3 linked regions of the Macaca mulatta genome follow. The protein of the gene in region 1 purifies or fractionates together with the protein of each later gene. This does not show direct contact. Links are inferred from orthologs where the notes say so. Each region holds a gene or a part of one and is shown on either strand. Other genes may lie near its edges.

What was found.
Region 2: the proteins of DDX3X (region 1) and EIF3D fractionate together in Homo sapiens (co-fractionation; 3 studies listed by BioGRID and IntAct, with this or other methods). This does not show direct contact. The link is inferred for Macaca mulatta from reciprocal best matches to the Homo sapiens genes DDX3X and EIF3D.
Region 3: the proteins of DDX3X (region 1) and FUS purify together in Homo sapiens (affinity purification with mass spectrometry; 3 studies listed by BioGRID and IntAct, with this or other methods). This does not show direct contact. The link is inferred for Macaca mulatta from reciprocal best matches to the Homo sapiens genes DDX3X and FUS.

The regions. Positions count from the first base shown.
Region 1 is NC_133426.1:41,243,251-41,248,086, reverse strand, and holds part of DDX3X (ATP-dependent RNA helicase DDX3X), read right to left. Parts: intron 4,490-4,836; coding exon 4,404-4,489; intron 4,194-4,403; coding exon 4,095-4,193; intron 3,987-4,094; coding exon 3,826-3,986; intron 3,075-3,825; coding exon 2,930-3,074; intron 2,539-2,929; coding exon 2,394-2,538; intron 1,391-2,393; coding exon 1,209-1,390; intron 1,116-1,208; coding exon 998-1,115; intron 762-997; coding exon 608-761; intron 306-607; coding exon 166-305; intron 1-165. UniProt on the Homo sapiens protein: Multifunctional ATP-dependent RNA helicase. The ATPase activity can be stimulated by various ribo-and deoxynucleic acids indicative for a relaxed substrate specificity.
Region 2 is NC_133415.1:15,017,814-15,022,649, reverse strand, and holds part of EIF3D (eukaryotic translation initiation factor 3 subunit D), read right to left. Parts: intron 4,327-4,836; 5' UTR 4,317-4,326; coding exon 4,194-4,316; intron 3,906-4,193; coding exon 3,860-3,905; intron 2,939-3,859; coding exon 2,802-2,938; intron 2,187-2,801; coding exon 2,101-2,186; intron 1,487-2,100; coding exon 1,414-1,486; intron 1-1,413. UniProt on the Homo sapiens protein: mRNA cap-binding component of the eukaryotic translation initiation factor 3 (eIF-3) complex, a complex required for several steps in the initiation of protein synthesis of a specialized repertoire of mRNAs.
Region 3 is NC_133425.1:29,826,807-29,831,642, reverse strand, and holds part of FUS (RNA-binding protein FUS), read right to left. Parts: coding exon 4,776-4,836; intron 3,638-4,775; coding exon of another isoform or gene 3,635-3,637; coding exon 3,493-3,634; intron 3,289-3,492; coding exon 3,103-3,288; intron 2,917-3,102; coding exon of another isoform or gene 2,913-2,916; coding exon 2,646-2,912; intron 1,028-2,645; coding exon 993-1,027; intron 1-992. UniProt on the Homo sapiens protein: DNA/RNA-binding protein that plays a role in various cellular processes such as transcription regulation, RNA splicing, RNA transport, DNA repair and damage response. Binds to ssRNA containing the consensus sequence 5'-AGGUAA-3'.

The sequences.
Region 1 (4,836 bases):
GATAAATTAATGAAGTTATCCATCATTAAATACAATCCTTCCCTTAAGTACTTTGCCATCAAGTTTCTATAGTGCTGATCTTAAATGGTTTAATTAGACTTTGAAAAAGATGACTAAACGGAAAAAAACCCTTCCCAAAGCTATGAAGTTACAGATTAACACTACCTCCACCGAATCCTCTGCTGCTACCGTGGCCACCTCCGCCACTGCGGCTGCTGCTTGCACGGCTGCTGCTGAAGCTGGAACTGCTGGCACCACTACTTTGTCGGTAGTCTCTGGCACCAAACCCTCCACTAAATCTGCTACTATAAGAAAAAATTTATGTTGGTTCACATGAAGATGAAATTCCACTGAAGTAACCTAACTCTTACATACGTCCCAATGACCAATTTCTATTTTTCCATTCAAACAATTCCCCATCCAGCCATATTTTCCCCAACATTAGAATGGAGTGTCATCCATTCTAATACAACCCCTTACCAAAGAATCTAGAAAGCCTAAGATGATTCAGCTTTTTAAATACTGTGAAGTTAACGCTGGACATTATGCATGCAGAGGAAACACTAGAAACTGTAAGTCAACACCTATTACACCATATATACCTCACCTCTTAGAACGTCCACGACTGCTACCCTTGTAGTGGTGTTCATAAGCCATGTTTTCTAACCAAGATGGCACTTCTTGTTTAGCTTCAACAAGAAGATCCAACAAATCCTTAGTAATATTTATGTTCCTCTCGTTAAAGAATGAGGTTGCCAGGCCTAAAAGAGTCCCCAAAAAACTATATAAACAAACGTCTTCCACAAAGTAACTTGCTACCCTTCTTACTTTCCTATGCAGAAATATTTAAAATATTACAATCTATTATTTAAACAAGTGCTTTGAGCAAAATCTTTTGTCACTTTCATTGTTAAAAATGTATTTTAGATCCTAGCAAGTTCTTTGCTGCACGCATCACAGCTAAAAACATGAAGTCATCAAGTAATCAAATACTTACCAAGGTTTCCTACACGTCCTGTACGACCAATGCGATGTACGTATTCTTCAATATCACTTGGTAAGTCAAAATTGATAACATGTTTCACATTTGAAATGTCCAGTCCTCTTGCTGCTACCTGAAAAATAACTTATATGAGATATGGCCCACTTAAAAGAAAAATACTTGAACATGCTCAACTGGAATCAAAGAAGGATGTTTTTATACATACTGCTGTAGCCACTAGAATTGGGCTTTTTCCTGAGCGGAACTGGTGAAGGGCCTCTTCCCTATCCCTCTGAGAACGGTCTCCATGGATACTGGTACATGCGTATCCTTCATGGTATAAGAAATCCTCCAGAGAATCTGCACCCTTTTTGGTCTCCACAAACACTAGGGTCAGTGAATCCTTGCCTGTCGTTGAAAAATTATAGGTTTTTGTCACTAATATGGCTTAGTTCTCTTTGCACTTATGTATGCACAATTTTCATGTGTCAATTAAAATACATACATATCTTCTTAAAAATGGGCTTTTAACAGCATGTTTTGAATTGAGGAGGAAAAGTAATAAAGGTAATCCAAATACATTGAAGACATGGGGGGTGTCTCACTATATTGCCCAGGCTGGGAGTAAACTGGCCATTCACAGGTGCAATCATGGCATACTACAGCCTCAGCCTGCCAAGTAGCTGGGACTACATGCACGTACCACTGCACCCAGCCCAAATGGATCACCACCAGAGCAATGAAAATTATTCATAATTTTAGATGGGTGCAGTGGTACGTGCCTGTAGGCCCAGCTACTCTGGAGGCTGAGGCAGGAGGATTGTCTAAGTCTACGAGTTCTGGGCTGTAGTGTACTATGCCTATCAGGTGTCCACACTAAGTTTGGGATCAACATGATAACCTCCCGGAAGCAAGGGAGCACCAGGTTGTCTAAGGAGGGGTGAACCAGCCCAGGTCAGAAACAGAGCAGGTCAAATACTCCCATGCTGATCAGTAATGGGATCGCGCCTGTGAATAACCCCTGCACTCCAGCCTGGGCAACACAGAGAAACCCCCATCTCTAAAAAAAAAATAAAAAATTCATAATGCCGGCTGGGCGCGGTGGCTCACGAGGCCTGTAATCCCAGCACTTTGGGAGCCCGAGACGGGCAGATCACGAGGTCAGGAGATCGAGACCATCCTGGCTAACATGGTGAAACCCCATCTCTACTAAAAATACAAAAAATTAGCCGGGTGCGGTAGCAGGCGCCTGTAGTCCCAGCTACATGGGAGCATGGGAGGCTGAAGCAGGAGAATGGCGTGAACCCAGGAGGCGGAGCTTGCAGTGAGCCGAGATTGCACCACTGCACTCCAGCCTGGGCAACAGAGCGAGACTCTGTCTCAAAAAAAAAAAAAAAAATCAAAATGTTACCTGTTGCATTTAGGAGGTCAAGCAGAAATGACCGTTTGTCTGATTCTTCCACCCAAACTACTTTCTGTGTGATGTTTTCAGAGGTAGAGCCAACTCTTCCTACAGCCAAGAAGATATATTCATCTAAGAAATCACGAGCCAGCATCTGAAAGAAAAAAAATATTTTTATTACCTGAGATAAACAAATTTCTAAATAAATAAAATTTGCAGGGCCAGGCACGGTGGCTCAAGCCTGTAATCCCAGCACTTTGGGAGGCTGAGACAGGCAGATCACGAGGTCAGGAGATTGAGACCATCCTGGCTAACACGGTGAAACCCTGTCTCTACTGACAAAAAAAAAAAAAAAAAAAACTAGCCAGGCGCGGTGGCGGGCACCTGTAGTCCCAGCTACCTGGAGGCTGAGGCAGAAGAATGGCGTAAACCCGGGAGGCGGAGCTTGCAGTGAGCTGAGCGCCACTGCACTCCTGGGCGACAGAGCTTCTCAAAAAAATTAAATAAATAAATAAATAAATAAAATTTGCAACATCCAACAGTACCTGTATTTCCTTAGGAAAAGTAGCACTAAACATCATAGTGTGGCGGACACCCTTTGGAGGCATAGTATCTTGTTCAACTATTCTACGAATCTGAGGCTCAAACCCCATATCCAACATCCGATCAGCTTCATCTAACACCAAGTATCTGTCATGTCATGAAAAAAAAAACAAACCTGAGTTTAGAATGAGGAGAAATCAAGATGGTTTTAGTATGGCTGTTAGTATAATTGCAATTGTGTAAGTTACTACAATTATATATTCATTAAGGTGGTGCCTCACACTGCGTAATTTTACAGACCCAGCACAGGATCCTTGCCACTACATAAGTCATTCAAGATTACACAGCCAAATTAGCCCATCCTAGTTGACTGTCCCACGAGCTGATCATTCTAAGCCTCCACCAAGATGTTACTACTGATTTTTCAACATTAAAATTACCATGAACAAGATTTTTGTAAAAGTTAGATGTCTGAAATACATCACTTCTCAATCTTAAAATTTAGACAATGTTGCCACCACCACAAACCTAATGGCCAGTAACTTTAATACTGCATCCCATACATTTAAAAATTAACATAGCCAAGCGCCGATGGCTCATGCCTGTAATCCCAGCACTTTGGGAGGCCAAGGCAGGTGGATCACCTGAGGTTGGAAGTTCGTGACCAGCCTGACCAACACGGAGAAACCCCGTCTCTACTAAAAATACAAAAATTAGCTGGGCGTAGTGGCACATGCCTGTAATCCCAGCTACTTGGGAGGCTGAGGCAGGAGAGCCACTTGAACCCGGGAGGTGAGGTTGCAGTGAGCCGAGATCGTGCCATGGCACTCCAGCCTGGGCAACAAGAGTGAAACTCCGCCAAAAACAAAACAAAACAAAACAAAACAAAAAAACATACTTGCAAAAGTCTAATCCAATCTTTCCTCTTTCCATCATATCCACTAGACGTCCTGGAGTGGCTACTAACAAATGGCATCCACGTTCCAAGTCTCGAATCTGCTGACCAATATCGGCACCACCATAAACCACGCAAGGACGAACTCTAGATCGGTATGAAAACTGTAAGCAAAAAAAGTTATGAACTTCAAGATCAAAATTTTTACATATTCATAAAACATTTAATTAGAATCAATGAAAAAGCTAATAATCACTGGAACTCATACTTACTTTTCTGGCTTCCTCGTAGATCTGTACTGCCAACTCTCTCGTTGGTGCTAATACCAAGGAGATTGGGTACTGTTTGCGGCGCCCATACCTTCCATTTTCCTAAGAAATAAATCAATTTTTAAGTTAACTCTACCTACCCTGTTTGAAAAGTTCATCACAACATAATTCCCTTTTGTAATTTATAGATTACAGATTACACTTGAAAACTGTTTTTCATTCGACTTAAGTCTTAGCATCATTTAGAAAGCCCTCTCAATGGCCTCCTACAAAGTTCTACAATAATTTCCCATTTTATAAAGAAACATCTACCTTCATGGCCCTCAAAGCCTCGCCTGGACCATCTGAATAAATCTGACTCAAGATGGGCAAGAGAAATGCTGCAGTTTTTCCAGACCCTGTTCAAAAACAAACAAATCCTGCTCATTAATTTTAAACAGACATTGGTAGATGACAGTGTTTTTTAACTGCCCTATTACTAGTAATTAGTACTTTTAGTTTATGATTAAGTTTTCCAAAAAGTGGCTTCTTTGGTCCATCTCTAAGAGGAGTCAGCAAACTGAGACAACTATTTTTGTAAATAAAGCCTGCTATTTTTATAAATACAGCTCTTACGGAATACAGCCATACCCAATAATTTATGTATCATCTATGGCTTCTCTCACAGTCCAATAGCAGCGCTGAGCAGCTGCAAAACTGCATGGCCCATAAAAAAATATTTTATTGTCTAGTCCTTTACAGAAAA
Region 2 (4,836 bases), on another chromosome or scaffold:
TCTACAAAACATACAAAAAATAAAAAATAGCCAGACATGTTGGCTCGGGCCTGTAATCCTAGCTACCTGGGAGGCTGAGGTTGCAGTGAGCCAAGATCGTGCCACTGGCACTGCAGCTTGGGTGACAAGAGTGAGATTCAGTCGAAAAACAAAACCCACAACCAACAACAAATGAAGCACAGCTGCCCTTGAGCAACATGGGTTTGAAGTACATGGGTCTACTCATATGCAGATTTTCTTCAAACAAACATGGACTGAAAATACAAGCCGGGCGCAGTGCCTCATGTCTGTAAAACCAGCACTCTGGGAGGCTGAGGTGGGTGGACTGCTTGAGCTCAGGAGTTTGGGACCAGCCTGGGGAACATGGCAAAACCCCATCTCTACAAAAAATACAAAAATTAGCCAGGCGTGGTGGTGCATGCCCATAGTCTCAGCTACTCAGAAGGCTGAGGTGGGAGGATTGCTTGAACCCAGCAGAGAGAGACTGCAGTTGGCTAAGATCACGCCACTGCACTCCAGCCTGGGTGACAGAGCGAGACCCTGTCTCAAAAAAGAAAAAGAAAAAGAAAAAAAAAAAAAAAAAAAAAAGTATTCTTGGCATGCAAACCCCGAGTATATGGAGGGCCAACTTTTCATATATGTGGGTACCACAGGCCGACTGTGGGACCTGAGAATGTGTAGACTTTCACATACTGAAGGACAACTGTACCGGCACATGCTGCCACATGGATGACTCTTGAAAACATGCGAAAAAAAAGCCACCAGTTACAAAAGACCATATATTGTATGATTCCATGTATGTAGAATGTCTAGAACAAAAAATCCAGAGACAGAAAACAGATTTGTAGCTGCCTAGGGCTGGGGTATTGGGCGTGTTAGCGTCTGGCCTCCTGGAACTCATGTGGCACGCTGGTTGCTACTGTGGCAGTGTCGGGAGGTAGGGCCTTTAAGAGATTAGGTCGTTAAAAGGAATAAATGCCTATGCCCTTCTCTCAGCAATGGGCTAACTACCCAAACAGTTTAGCCTTTTTCTCTGTTGCACCCTCCTCCCCCTTCTGCCTTTTCTGCCATGCTATCAAGCAGCATGAGGCCCTCACCAGATGCCGCTCCTGATCCAGGACTTCCCAGTCTCCAGAACCATGAGCTAAAGAAACCACTTTATAACTTACCCACTCTCAGGTATTCTGTTCTGGCAACAGAAAACAGATCAAGACAGGGTGACTGCTAAAGGGTAAGGGATTCTCTTGAGGGTGATGAAAATGGTCTGAAATTGACCAGTTACAGAACTCTGCAAATATGTTAAAAACGACTAAATTGTACGGTATGTGAAGTATATCTCATCTAAGCTATTATAAAGACAACCAAATAAACAGAACCAAATTCCAAGGCAGAATTCTGGTATAATTGCATTACCTGTGATTTCTGATCCCATTTCTGCCTAACCCCAAATTGCTTCTGGAACTTTTTCTGCAGTCGAATGCGTTCTCTGGAAAGATAGAAATATGATCTCAGAGCAGACCTTAAAATTAGTGGCTTCCTCAAAAGGCACAGGGTGCCATTCTCTTCAGCTAAAACTTGCCATGATCACTAACTCCATTGAACTATGAAAAATGGGCTTAGAGAAAGGAAGAGACCCAGAGGGTACACATTGGAAAAGCACACTGCCTCCAAATACTGACCAGGCATATTTTACTTCATCTATAGTGCCTGTTCACTGATAGCTCCAATCTGGGGTGTAGTGGCTGCTGGACCACACACCACCAGGAGGCTCCCAGGACCAGCATACATGGGGCTTCCTGGAGCTGTCCCACAGCAGAACTGAGCCAAGGTAAGCTCCAGAGCCTCTTCTTGCCTGCCTGGGTTTCCCTTCAGTGCACACGGCCAGCACAAGGAGTTCAGTCTGCTGCTCATGCTATCTGCCATGAACCAGCCTGAGAACAACAAGCCAAAAGGTGGCTTAACTGGTTGTAGAAGGTATTTTCCTCTTTTTCTTTTTTTGTAATGATGGGGAAGACAACCACCCTCCCGCTTTTGTCCTACTGTTTCCAACTACGGCCAGTCTGGGAAGGGTGTCTTGTTCCAGTAGGATGAAAATCTCACCTCTCTTTTTGTTTGGCACTCTTAGGCAGGATCTGCAGGTTGAACTGCAACATGTTCCGACGATCTTTGTCTCTGCGGAGGTTCCTCTGGGCATCAGCAAGAAATATCCATGTTAGCATCTTGGAGATTTGGCTCACAATAGGCAGAATGAGGAGGAGGTCTTTCGAGTAAGTTTAAGATGCCAAATCCCAAGTTTCACATCTTGCTCTGTGCTTTCACTCTACGGCATCAACAGCTTGGGGGTGTTAGGGGGTAAGTACTTGGACTTTGCTTAGACTTATATTCCCGTGACATATTTTTCATTGAAGTATGTTTACTGGGTCTTTTTAGAGTTTCTGAGTTTGCCTCTTTAAGTAATAATACGCAACCTGACTGGACCGTCTACTTAATAAAGTCTGCACACACCAATTACCTGTGGCAACAGGCACGGGTGCACCTTCTTATCCAGCACAAATGCTTTTAGCATACAAGTCTGATGTCCTACCTACTGGTAAACAGAAACATAAACTATTTAAATGCATCCTTGAACCTAGTTCAAGTTTACCTTGGTACCTCTTGTTACAGAACAGTGACCTGAGATTCACCTGAGAAGACCTCTAATATGCTTCCCTCTCTCATTAGGAGTCACAAGGTAGCATTTTTAGGCAGGTGATGGCCAACAGTAACAGCCCCAAGATGGTGGTTGCTGGTTCTTGGCTTACCTGGGCAAATCTCATCCGATTCCGCTGGTAGGCCGTCTTCTGTGTGCGCGCTGTATCCACCAGCTGGAAGCTACTTTCATCCTCCTCGTGGAAATAAGCATATTGACTTCCACCACCAAACTGAGAGGAGTACTTATCTGGAGGCAAAAGTGCCGGCATGTAGTAACTACATTCACAGACTTTACCAGATACGCACCAGTCTAAAGCCTTGCTATTTCCAGGGTGGTCTTGAGACCTGTAGCATTGGCTGGAAGCTTGTTAGACACACAGACTCACAGTCCCACCCCATACCCACCGAATCAGAACCAGCATTTTAACAAGATCCCCAGGTGATTCATATGCACATTCAATTTTGAAAAACTCTGGTCTAAAGAACTTTCTAAGCGAAGACTCTGAAGGACTCAAGCTAACCCATTTTACTCTCTGCTTTATTGTGTGAGAATCTGAGGTATTTATTGCTAACCATCATCTCCATTATCAGGGACCCACGGCAGGTATGTCTAATGGATCACGATATACTTTCTTGCCAATCTCAGCCTCAGCTATCCTAACTTAGTTCTCCAGGCAGCCACCTGCAACTATCTGAAATGGCACAGAGAAAAAGCCTTTTTATAGTACCAGGATCTTAAAACCAGGGGTTTTAATTTTTTTTTTTTGAGACAGGGTCTGGCTCTGTCACCAGGCTGCAGTGCAGTGGCATGATCTTGGCTCACTGCAACCTCTGCCTTCTGGGTCCAAGTGATTCTCCTGCATCAATCTCCCGAGTAGCTGAGATTACAGGCGCATGCTACCATGCCCAGCTAATGTTTTCAACAGGTTTTTAAAAGGGCCCCAAATCCCATTTTAATAGGCTAGACCTCTTTAATGAACAGACTAAGTTTTGGGGGCTAGTTCCAAAAATGTGGTTACTGTTAAAGTCCAGACTATATCCCTAAAAGCTATGAATTATTGTTGCCAGTTCCTTCCTATTCCAAAAAAGCTTTCAGATGAAGGTCATTAGAATAAAGAACAACTTTCCCAAGGCCCTGATTGGGGCATTCAGCCGCAGAAACACTTACTTGTGTACCTCTTATCTTGGTACGTGGCTCCTGTCCAGTCTGCAACCTATGAACAACAAGGCAAGACAGAGAATGCACAGGTCAACCAGGCAAGCTTCCACAGACCCGGAAACCCCTGAAAGCGAGAGGACAGCGTGGGAGAGTCTCAGAATTCGTTCACCACACCTAAGTGCCCAGCTCTCCTATCACTACACCCAGAGATGACAACCTTTCTCAGCTGCCATCCCTATAAAAAATTCACGAGTTAAGATTTTGCAACAATAAAATCTAAACAGGGACTCGAGAGCAGCAGCCACAGCTGCAAAGATTCAGACTCCTGCTGACAGGCAAGTACCTTTCCTAGCCGATCTCCTTTGCTGAACGGCTGGTAGGGCATATCCCGAAACTGCTCGGGAACCGCACAGGGACCCCAGCCGGAGGGGTTGTCCTGGATCACGGGTGTCATGAACTTTGCCATCTTCCAAAACCTGAAAAATATAAATCATGTGAGTAGCGGCATGAACGAAGGCCTCAGAGTACAAAAAGCCCTCCATATGAAGTAAGCAGACATAAATGACAGAATTCAAAAAGCAACACGCAAACTGGAACCCTCAACTGTTGAGCGACTACTACTGTTTGTTAATTATACTGTGAATATGTACTTAAAACTGAGAAGAATGCAAACAAAACTGATTGACCCTATGTCATTAATTTCACGAAACTCTTTCACTGTAACAGCTTTAAAAGGAGGCAGCACCTTGTGCTTGACAGAGTGTCATATTGATTGGTAGTTTTTCTTTTTTTGTGTTACACAATGTAAGTGTTTGAAAAAATTCAATGGTGTCACAGATTTGATAAAATGTACTGATGTTTTTTCAAATATAGTAACCTTGTTTTGGTTCTGAGATATACGTTCACCAATTCATACAAACTCAACTTCCCTAAGACTTAGTAGTCTTTTTCTTTGTTTTTGGAGACAGAGTCTCACTTTGTCACCC
Region 3 (4,836 bases), on another chromosome or scaffold:
CCCCAAAACCACATGAAAATAAAAACCATACATAATAGCTATTGTATTTTTTAAGCATGTCCCAGGGAACAGACCAGAAATCTTACTTTCGTAATGCAGCCTCTATTTTGTTTTTCCAGAGACCATCTTTGACCAATGTTTATCTGAATTCGCCATATATAAATATTGTACCCACACGCAATGACACCTAAGTTATGAACCCAAGCCTTTGGCTTTAAATGTTGAGACAAATCAAGAAACCTTTTGTTAGTTAACCAAACCAGAAAAGTTCCAGCTTACTGGGAGACTTCTCAAATTTGTCATTTTTCCATGAATTCAGTTTGTGCTGTTTAAGACCTTCCTGGTCCATGAATTCAGTTTGTGCTGTTTAAGACCTGGTTATTTCCCATGAGCCACACATGCTTCCAATCTTTCTTGAAGTAGTGCACATGTTCCTTCCCAGAGCTAGTTTCTATTTGCCCATCTGAGTTAAGTCCATATACATAGAATTGCATTCATTGACACCATTCCGTACTTTATAAAGGTATACCAACTTCACCATTCTTAGGGCAATGTTACATCCCTCTTCCAGAATTAAAACATTTGGAGGTTGTCTCCCACTCTCACACACACACAAGCCTTGGACACAATGATCAAAAGGATCCTAAAGTCAAGATGGCACCACGTGTTCCAGCACGCACTCTCCAGTTTCTCATGATGATGGTCACTAAGTGCCAGGTGTGGCAACAGCCCTGTCCAAGGCCTACTAAACCCCTCTTATTAACCTGGGGCAAACCCATTTGGTAAAAGACGACTATTGAATCTTACCCCTGCCTGCTCCAGGTTAGCACACACCAGGCAACAGGTGGCATTCTACCCTACCCCTTTATGGAGGTGGTTCTGGACACCTCAAAACCTTTGACATTTAAATTAACACGCTAAGACATCTGCAAATGAACAATCAGACAAAGCATTGCTGGGAGTTGGGAATTTTGGAAACTCTGTTCACTTACCACCAAATTTATTGAAGCCACCACGGTCACTTCCGCTGGAGAAGACAAGTTAGAAGAAAGGACATGAAGCTTCCAACGGCTACAAAAGGGTGTTTTTTGATTTTGTTTAACATTTCCCAAACACAGGTAGGTGTTTTTGGAAAAAGATACAAGTGGCTACTAAAATACATCCCTTCCTGACCACCCCTTGTCTGACCTTTGAGCATGTCACACACACGTGTGCAATTTCTCAGACACAGTTTATAAAGATTTTGCTTTAAAAGGTTATGTATCTATTTCCTCTGGAAAAAAATGACCCATTTTCCTTGGTCGTTCTTCCGATGGAGCAGATGTTTTTTTTTCCTCTTGTCGCAAGTGGTTGACAACCAAGTAGTTGGTTTAAAAACCCTACCCCAATTTACCCAGAAGACATTTCACACCAGGCTGGGGTAGCCTTGAACACACTTTTGTGGTTTTTGCTTTGAAAGCAGCAAGCAGACCCAACCCCATTCCATAAAAAGTCAAAACCAAAGGCAACTTCCCCTTAAAGCAAGACAAACTTAGCTAAGCTCTGTCCTAACTACTGAGCTGTTTTTAATCTCCCCCAACCCCCGGGGTCACCCCTTCTACACTGCGAGAAGAGCGGAGTATTTTGCAATGTCACCTTTCATACCTGTGGCACATAAAATGCAGAGCAAGTTAACAGTCACATAACAGTTGTTTTTCTTTTTAAAGTTTTGCATTAAACACACGCACACAACAGAGTTTTCCTCATTTTTGTACGTTTTTGAGATTGCCCCCACCCACCTCTGCATACTTACCATATCCAAACTCAGTTTAAAAATCTACTTTTTCCAAAAACAGTTACACTGACATTCCTGCCCTTTTTCAAGGGAGACAGAGTAGGGTCCTTCAAATCGTATTTACCGACAGATTTGACAACTGTTTTAACATCAAATCTAAGGTTTTACTTCAAATCAACTTCAGCAGGAAGGAAAGAAGGTCCAGTTGGACAAGCTGATGAATTTTAAGTAACCAGGGTAAGGCAGACAGTGGAACAACTAGGTGGGAGACCACTGTCAAGCATATTTTTGCCCAAAAGGTCTGCACACTTCAGTCAGTTGGTCCCATAAACCAAGTCACACCCAAAATCAATGTCGGTCAAATTGGTGCAAATCAAGCTCGTGGATTCAAATGACTACAGAAAACGGGAAGAGTAACCAATTCCTGGAAGCTGAAGTCAGGTTAACCATTACCAACTCCCTAGAGGACACACGGGAACACACATACCAAGTTTCCCTACTATTTCCCAGGAGTGGGTTCATCGGTTTCCCTTGCAGAGAAAGAAGTCTTCACTTCCATGTTTCTTGCCTAGGATATCAATGACTCCAATCCATACGTATTGGAAATCTATGTATGATTTCTTTTTTTTGGAAACAAGTATCAATACTCAAAATCTCTATTCGGTGGTATGGATGGGAGTTCAGGCTCCCAAATTCTCACAAAAATAAAATGGGGATGTAAAAAGAAAATCACTGCCCCCAAATCAAAGCCCTCACAGATCCCCCAGACAACAAGAATACTAAACCATGCATTAGGGACTGGCTTCAGGGAGATTCATGCAATCCTCCACACTCCCCACCAAAGATACTCCCTGGCTCATGAGACACCTACCCCATGCCACCTCTGCCTCCACGGCCACCTCCACGACCTCTGGGTTCATAGCCACCACTGCTGCGGTTGTAACCACCACCACCGCCGCCGCCACCACTGCTGCCGCCCCTGCCACGGCCTCCACGGTCCTGCTGTCCGTAGCCACTGCCGCCTCCACCACTCTGGTCTTGATTGCCATAACCACCACCACCACCACCACTGCTGCCGCCGCCACCGCCGCCGCCGCCACCACCACCACCACTCATGGAGGATTGATCTTGGCCATAGCTACCTGTGAGAAAAAAAAGGATGGTTTAAAAAAAAAAATTGTAAAGTAGCACAAAAAGGTATGACAAGTGCCAGGCAATGAAGTACAAAAGAAATTAAAAAGACAGCTAGGAAATAAAACAGGAACCCTTTTAGGCTAAAACAGAATACAAATCCTTATAGAAAATGGGCTGCAGACAAAGCTGAGGACATCTCACCTCCACCTCCACTACCACTGCTGCTGCTGTTGTACTGGTTCTGCTGTCCATAGCCCTGAGGGGGATTATAGCTTTGCTGCTGTCCATAGCTTTGCTGCTGTCCACCATAGCTAGGCTGCTGGCCGTAGCCCCCACTCGGGGGCTGCCCATAGCTGCTGGTCTGAGAACTGCTACCGTAACTAAGGAAAACAAACAAAAAACACAATCACAATCCCAGCATACCCCCCCAATTTCCTTTTAGTGGATTCCATTCTCTGTACTCAACACAGGCTCCCCTACCCCAATTACACCTCTAAACTGCTCCTACTGCTGCTGGTCCCTTTATCATTCCTCATCAATTCACCCCTCTTTTCAAGCCTTCCCCGACATCGACACCACCGTACCTTCCCGAGGTGCTGCTGGGAGTTGGCTGCTGGCCATAGCCAGGGTAGGAGGACTGCTGCCCATAAGAAGATTGGGAGCTCTGGCTACTGCCATAGCCGCCAGTCGAGCCATATCCCTGGGGAGCTGACTGAGTTCCATAGCCTGCTACAAGAAAAAAGAAGTCACAAAAGCCACCAGGAAAAAGAAAATGTAAGAAATGTGTTAAAACATATACAACCTAATACCTATACCCAAAAAGTCAGCCTTTCAGAAGCTGTTCATAATCTTGCAACTCATAAAGATAGTTACCCTCCTTTCAAAGCCCAAAGTTAATGCTCCAACTTCTATCCTAAGACAGTTCCAATTTAACCCCGCCAACCCCAACACCCTCTAATCCCAAGCCCAAGGATTCCTGTTAACAGCACTGTGATATGCAGCTGTGCATGCAGTTACGTACAGGACAACCACCTTTCTTAGTTACACTTCAGGACCTTGGGGCAAATCCCACCTCCTTATGTATCACATGATTTCATACATTTGTTTCAAGCATAACCATTTTCTCCATTTAAGAATTGGCCTAAAACTGGTTCTCCCGTTAGAAAATATGCTCTTTCATGCTGAGATGGGAAATGAGAGTCATAAAAATTAAAAGCCAAAGAAAACAAATGTAAACAGAATCACAAACCAAAAAACATTTTTGTTTTTTGAGATGGGGCCGCAATACACTGCCCAGGCTGGAATGCAGTCGCTGTTCAGTCACTATCATAGCTCACTGCAGCCCCAAACTCCTGAACTCAAGGGATCCTCCTGCCTCAGACTCCTCAGTAGCTGGGACTACAGGTGTGCCACAATGCCCTGTAAAGGACTCAGATCCCAAAGAGTTTTAAGAATTATACACTCATTTAGGGAAAAGAAATATGGAAGAGTTTCAACACTTCAGTCCTGCTCAGGTTTAAGAAAAGGGACATTCAGGGCGTGATGGCTCACACCTGTAATCCCAGCACTTTGGGAGACTGACGCAGGTGGATCACAAGGTCAGGAGTTCTAGACCAGCCTATCGAACATGGTGAAACCCCATCTCTACTAAAAATACAAAAATCAGTAGGGCGTGGTAGCAGGTGCCTGTAATCCCAGCTACTCAGGAGGCTGAGGCAGGGGAATTGTTTGAACCCGGGAGGCGGATGTTGCAGTGAGCTGAGATAGCACCATTGCACTCCAGCCTGGGCAACAGGATGAGACTCCGTCTCCCAAAGAAAAAGAAAAAAAAGAAAAGCAATATTCAGAAAGAGCAGGAAGAGGTGACCTGCTGAGAAAGACTCACTGCTCTGGCTCTGGCCGTAAGAAGAATAGCTGCTCTGGCCATA